Nothobranchius furzeri: one gene and its partner. The protein of the gene in region 2 purifies or fractionates together with the protein of the main gene of each other region. This does not show direct contact. Links are inferred from orthologs where the notes say so. Each region holds a gene or a part of one and is shown on either strand. Other genes may lie near its edges.

Evidence for each region. Proteins that work in one complex are often made in the same cells at the same time.
Region 1: the proteins of pdhb (region 2) and pdhx purify together in Homo sapiens (affinity purification with mass spectrometry; 4 studies listed by BioGRID and IntAct, counting the BioPlex papers as one, with this or other methods). This does not show direct contact. The link is inferred for Nothobranchius furzeri from reciprocal best matches to the Homo sapiens genes PDHB and PDHX.

The regions. Positions count from the first base shown.
Region 1 is NC_091744.1:75,525,748-75,529,503, reverse strand, and holds the start of pdhx (pyruvate dehydrogenase protein X component, mitochondrial), read right to left. Parts: upstream 2,247-3,756; 5' UTR 2,200-2,246; coding exon 2,064-2,199; intron 1,207-2,063; coding exon 1,123-1,206; intron 1-1,122.
Region 2 is NC_091743.1:78,896,800-78,900,455, reverse strand, and holds part of pdhb (pyruvate dehydrogenase E1 component subunit beta, mitochondrial), read left to right. Parts: coding exon 1-9; intron 10-82; coding exon 83-118; intron 119-1,385; coding exon 1,386-1,576; intron 1,577-3,656. UniProt on the Homo sapiens protein: The pyruvate dehydrogenase complex catalyzes the overall conversion of pyruvate to acetyl-CoA and CO(2), and thereby links the glycolytic pathway to the tricarboxylic cycle.

The DNA of each region.
Region 1 (3,756 bases), on a different chromosome or scaffold from region 2:
TGGTGTGGTGGCATCAGCTGGCGTAGGCCAGACGATGCCTGCACTGCCTGCTCACCACAGCCATTGAATACACCTCATCAACACGCACTAACACTATATTGGAGCAGGTGGAGGGTGACTAGGGGCCTTAGCACACCTCTGTTGTCGCTTGGCTTCCCGGGGAGGCAGTAAGTATGGACTTGGGCATGTTCAACACATGTCTTAAGGCTGTGGTTGGCACTAAATGCACTGTGATTTATTATCGTGTGATTGTTCAGTAAAACAATGTTCATTTTATATTTCCTCATCAGGTTGACACAGTGATAGCTTGCTCCTGTTGTGTTGTTGCGTGTCCCTTTTCTGCAGGTCTAGAAGCAGATCCCTGTTCATCATTGATTGTTTATTCCCCCTCCCCCTTCCTTGTCTCTTCCTTTCTCTTTCACCTATGTCTCTGTGTCTGGTCAGAATTACAAAGCATTCAAAAACAATAACAATAAAGTTTTAAGTATCAGGCGTGACATTAAAAGCAGATGCTTTGATGCTCCACCTGAGAGTAAATCTGTACGGCTTGTTACCAGCATTCAGACATCAATTATGTGTGCTTTACAGCCAGACAGGACCGGGGGTGGGTACAGGAAGGAAATGTTTTGAAGCATCCATTCTCATGATTTTCACATACACACAATTGTACAAATGGCAGAAACACATGGTAACACAGCTTGTAGCCATTGAGTTCCTCATGCTGCTTCTAGATAAGAGAACCACCTGGATGATTATCAGCAATTGTGATTTCTTGAGTTAATTAGCCAACAAGGCCCTCAGGTGATCTACAACTCAAGTCTCTGTCTTACAAAGCAATGAAATGTCATTGAGGGATTGATTTGTCCTGATGTTGGTCTGTAATTGTGGGAGGATAAGAAAAGTGGAGCTTCGGATTCAGTTTTGTCCAAATAGAAGCTGTTTGAGTCATGACTATAACATATTTATGTATAATTTACTAAGGTATAAAGCTGGTAAGCGAGAGAAATGACATTGATGTAGTCAAGTTTTCTGTAAAATCTAATGCAATTTTCAGAATTTTAAAATACTTATTACAAAAATACCCTAATTAAGAAACCCTTGATTAAACTTGTATCACTTTACCTTCTTTTTTCAGCCATTTGACTATGCTTCCCTCCTCCATGGTGGGAGAGAGAGCTGGCATTTGTACTTTGAGTGGGCTGACACCTAGAGGATGGAAGGAAGAAAACACAAAATGTATATTCAAAGACAAGAGTAATAAAATAAAAAATGAATAAATATAAAGAACCGTTTTTCTCAGTGCCAGTTATTGCAAACCCGTGATCGTAGTTGATGGCTGTCAAACAAGTTAACTAGTTACGAGACTAAAAAGGATAGTAGGTTTTCTAATATCCGTAACCCATAGAGGCCACACTGTCTAACATGGAGGGGGAGGGGAGTACTGTTAATACTTATCCATGGTACAAAATAAAATACAGAACAGGTTTTAAAAATACTGACAGTGAAATTGTTCCTAAGTGGTTTTCAGTTAAATAAAAAGGTCAGAAGTCTCTTCTGTTTCTAGTTAAAGGGGTGTATGCTGTCATTTGCTGGACACTTAAAGCTTTAGTTAATTTTCATGAAGATTGTGATTTTTTATCTGACATTTAAGAGTAAATATTAATTTTTTGTGGTTATTTTTGGTAAGCTGCAAGTCTTTTGCATGTCTATTTTGTCTTCGAGTCAGCATGTTGTCTAAATCATCCTTAATTGAATATCTAATATACACTTTCCTAAAAATTTACAGGAGATAAAATTCTTGGCCACAATATCATGGCCTCTTTTTATTTTTTAGTAGATATTTCAATTTTTGCGAAGCTTGGTTTGAATTGTTTTAGAAGTAACTCAACTCCTTCGTAGATATTAAACCAGATGAGCCAATCCGGAATCGTTTTGTAAAAAACGACGAGACTTAATGTCACACACGTAAATCCATCACAATTAAACATAACTGGGTGTAGCAAACGTCAGGTCAAAGGAGAGCTGTTCTCCCTTGATTAGCCGGTTTTAAAGCCAACACTCACCAAACATCCATGGCGACTGAAATACGTATCTCACGCGATCCTGCGAAGGGTGTCGAAGCCAAAAACTTTTGTTAAAATTAAGTAATTTGAGACCAGAAAAAATTCCTTGACGACCCAAACGCAAGGAGACCGCCATGTCTTTCTCCTCCGTCGTGAGAGGTGCCCTCACAAGTGCCTGTCCATAAAGCAGCGGAAAGCCAGGATGGAGCTTGCTTTTGTTTTCCAAATCTATCATTGTGAAATTATACAGTATAGAAAAGGTTCAAAGGCATAAAAAACGTTAGCACATTCCTTTTGGCAAGGCAAAAATAATATAAATAGCATTGTATTTGTAATTAAAAAGGCAAAAAACTACCTACATGTTTCGGGCTTTATTATTTGAACAAAAAACTTTATTGATCCAACACATTTGACAGAACAGTGAATAGAAAATTGATGGAAATTGGTGTCATTCAAAGAATTAATAAGTAAATATAAATAAAAATAAAGGAGCAAGTATTTTCAAATGGATCTGAGGACACAATATTTTTCTAAAGCAAAGCAAGGCAGCCTAAATAATATTTTACAAATAGAGGGGATTCGATTTGTGAACAGAACAGAATAGAATAGAATATCCCTTTATTCTATATAGTAGGGACATGTTTGTATCACAACAGCAACCACATTCACAATAAGAACAAATAAATAAATAAGAAATAGAAGGCTGTACTCTAAACAAAAACATGTTAAACACTATTGCAAGAAATATTTTAAAGAAGAATCAATGGAATTTACAAAATGTTTGAATTAAAAAATAAAATATTGTGAGAGAACAAGCAGATTATTGGAGTGATCAGTAGAGAAATGTGAAGATAGAACTACAACAGAACTGTGCAAATAACCAAGCAGCAGGGAGGCAAAAAGTTTTAGTGGGTTAGTTGGAAGCAGCACTGGTTGCAAATCCTAACTGCTGCTGGGCCTGGGAGGAAAAACCCATGACAACGTTCCTTCATGCCCATAGGATGCAGCAATCTGTCACAGAAGGAGCTCTTCTGATCCAAAACAGCATCATGCATGGGGTGGGAGACTATCGTCCAACAGTGATGCTATTTTTGCTAGAGTCCTTCTGTCTCCCATTATATGCACTGGATCAAGGGTACATCCCAAGACAGAGCTGCCCTTCTTAATGAGCTTATCTAATATCTCTCTGAGCCACATAAGACGTAAAATATAAGAATGTAAGAATTCCTTAATGTCATTATATACACATAAGTTGGCAGCTCTCAGCTTGCAGACACACATTTGTAGAATATAAAAGCAACAGTGGGCAAATCACAACAATATTGGTCAGTGCAAACACTGGTAAAAAAAAAAAATAGGGACCCTTAGTCATGCCCATCCACTTCTGGACCATGGGTCTCCAGAAGAACAAAAAAAAAAAGAGAGAATGCAAGTCAATCGGGTTAAAACTGTTATTTTCTAATTACACTTGTTCTGTTCCATGGATTTCACAGATGATGATTGTGCATTTTAAAGAACGGGCAAACATTATTTTAGGTTTTGTGTAAAACTATGTCCAGAACAACAAATGTGCATCACCAAAGTGACATCATCAAACCAGAAATGCCAGTACTTGGTAACACAGCATGCCTTGGCCTGTGTTTAAGATTGGTTTTAAGTAAGAACTCTAGTTGTACGCTATCTGATAAGGTCT
Region 2 (3,656 bases):
ATTTCAGAGGTGAGAGCTTGCTGGGGTAAAATTTGACTTTGGTTAGCATGGATCCATCAGCTGGTTTCTGTCTCTGGTGCAGATGGGGTTCGCTGGGATTGCAGTGGGAGCTGCTATGGTGAGTTCCTGTCTTCACACAACACATAGACCACAAAACAACGTAAGGACAACCGAACCAAATCAAGTGTTAGGTTTAGGGTCGGCATCAGTGCCTCCATTTGGTTCATTATTAGATTTAGCTTTAACTGTGTCCAAATCATTTGGCGTCTGTTGTTTTAAACAGGAAGTGTGATGATTCAGTCACATCTAAACAAAGTAAGATGGTGTTAATTCTGCAACATCAACACATCTTTTAAGTTGATGAAAATCGAATAACTTATGATTCAATTCAATTCAGTTTATTTATAAAGCATCAAATCAGGACCAGAGTCGTCTCAAGGACCTTCACACAGTAAACATTCCAATAGAGGTCAGGCCATTAAGCCAATCAGTAAAACATTTCCTATATAAGGAACCCAGCAGGTTGCGTCGAGTCACTGACTAGTGTCAGAGTCTTTACAGCAATCCTCATACTAAGCAAGCATGCAGCAACAGTGGAGAGGAAAACTCCCTTTTAACAGGAAGAAACCTCCAGAGGTCGTGGCTCAGTATAAGCAGCCATCCACCACGACTCACTGGGGATGGAGAAGACAGAGCAGACACACACCCACACACACACACACAACATATACTAAGTAATGTTTCTATGGTTACATTGTGGTTTCTTAGTAAATATTCTATTTGGTGAAAGATAATCTTTATTGCATTTATCCTAGTGAATCTATAATTAAACGGGTAAACTAGTAGTAGCACATTCAATGTCAAAGAGAGTAAAATGTTATTATCAGGAGATGGAGAATGTTTAACCCTCCCACTGTCTTCATGGGTGACCCCGCGAGGAAAGTTGACCATTGAGCAGGATTGATGGTTTATCCCTTGAGGTCCACATGGCAGGGGTGAGGTGGTGCTCACTCCTCACCCCTGCCACATGGACCCAAGGTATAAACTATGAACCCTGCTCAATGGTCAACTTTCCTCGTGGGGTCACACCCATTAGGACAGTGGGAGGGCTTAGTATTATGAAGCATCTACATTGGTAAACATCAACAAGCTAGTACTACTCGTAGTAGTACTTGCACTCATCTTCTGCTTTTCTGGGTCAGCACCAAGAGGGCACAAGTGGGGACAGGGTCACAGAGCATTTGAGGAAGGAAGATGGACATGCTTCAGGGTTGAACCGGCAATCCTCTGGTTATGAGTGAATTCCTAACCCTGAGTCGCTGTCAAGAACCTTCCTCTGGTTTCTCCTCAATACTTGGAATAAACTCTGTGTTTGTTCCCTTTAGGCGGGTCTTAGACCCATTTGTGAGTTCATGACCTTTAACTTCTCCATGCAAGCCATTGATCAGGTCATCAACTCTGCAGCCAAAACCTACTACATGTCTGCTGGACTGCAGCCAGTTCCCATCGTCTTCAGAGGACCCAACGGAGCGTCGGCTGGTGTTGCTGCTCAGCACTCACAGTGCTTTGCTGCGTGGTACGTTCAAACACATGTTGCGTTGTAATGACAAGAAATTATGACTTTCAGGTTCTGAAGCTTGTAAATAATCAGGAGGTTGGATTTCATGTTCTTTCTCAGTGGCCAGGCCTCCAGAAGGTCTTTCAGCTTGTTGCTTAGCCTGGACTACAGGAACGTCTGACTGCTGGGTTCCTGGGGCCTCATTTCACCAAGTGAATTTCTCCACTGTGAGATTAATAAAGTCTAGTCTATTTCTCAACCGTACTTATGCACAGATACAGCGTGCGTCGTGTGTAGGAACTAATTTATGCATTGTGTGGTAGTCATCATTTTGTACTATTCGTGGCAATGTTCCTAAATATTGCCGGGTTTCACTCACGTGACGTCTGCAGCCATGCAAAACTCAAATGGGTCAGGAAGTGTTTTGCGCCGCAACAAAAGATACAACACGGCGCGATTGATGAAAGCGATTTTACTGAGCCTTTAATGAGCTGGCACAGACGTGAACAAATACATCTTCTTTGATGTTACGACCCATAAAGTTTTAAAAGTCACACTTTTCATCCACTGTGGAGGATTTACCCGGCGCTGAAGCGATCTGCCACAAACTACCGTGTGCTGCCTTCCTCATGTCTCACTGCAAACCAAACGAAAGCCTCTTACACGCCTGGAAGCCTGCAGCTGTTGTATTTCTGGTTGGTTAACCTTTTAGTGATCTGGAGAAGCTTTAGATGACCGTTGTCTTGTTTTTGCTCGGGTAAGTAGTGAGTTGCGCTGTTTTTTTTAACTCATGATAATAACGCTATCGCTAATGCTAACCATCAGTATTTGCTGGCATCTACTTGTAAGTAACTTTTTATGCTTTTTAAATCCAAATTTCTGGTACGTTTGATTTTAATAAGGTACAAATGCATTAAAACACTAAGCTAACTGCTAAAAACATTAGTACTCTGAAAGCTATTAGCAGTGAGGACATGTGAAAACAGTATAAAACTGTTAATCTGTGGTTTTTGTGGCTGTTTCTAAGCAACTGTGTAATAAAACACTCCGTAATCTCTCACCTGATAGAAAGTGATTTCTGTAGATAGAAAGTGATTTCTGTAAACTCCAGCATCGTCCGTTTTAGCTCCTGTTTTAAGCCGTAGATTACTGATCCACCTCTGCCGTCTTCTGTCAGTACATTACATTTAGTTATTATTTTTCAATTAAAGTATCTTTCCGGAGTTTTCCCCCTTTCAGAAATTATGTATGGTTTGTCAGAAATCCATAAAAGTGATTTATCATGTACTATGATATAATTTAAGCGATAAGTCTTTTTTTTTATTGCTAAGCACACCCCCTGCCCCGCAGAGCTCTGTGCAATAGGAAACTGAGCGCCCACCAGAAATAACCAATAACGTTAGACTTCCGCTTAGATGCTTCAGATGTAGGGAATACCTCGGCTGATGCAGAGTAAATGAACTTTTCACGTACAAGTAAGTCTCAATGGTAAAACAACGTGTTTTAGCTGTTTGTCGGCTACAGAAGCACTTTTATAAACAGAAACGTGAAGTCGCCATCTTTAAAAATGGATCCAGAGACTGTTTGTGCTATGCTTGTCAGCCACTAGATGGTGCCATCAGTTAATAGAAATACTCCAGAAAGAGACTTTTAAGTCTTTAGTGGCGCACTACATTTGGGACATGAAAATAATGTTTGTCCCAATTAGAGTGATCGTAATAACCGTAGACCTCACAGAATTTAGGCATTTAACGCCCAGTCACCAAAGTAAATAGTGTTTAGTGCAGCGCCAGCTACTTCCGGACCCACATCTGCCTTTGGTGATGTAGATGCAACGTCATGTAAAACCCACCAATAAAAACCGCTTGGACCATGAGTACGAACAGCATCTAGTGGTAGATTGTGGGAACAGCAGGAATGAAGGTCTCAGTCATCCACACATGTTCCACATCTAATTATTATTTTATCTAATAAATAATCAATCAATCAAAACTTTACAAAGCGCCTTCCGCAACCCTGTCAGGAAGCCCAAGGTGCTGAACATGGTACAGTAGAAAGTTAAATATAGTGAGTAAATCAGAAAATAAAAGCAATTCAA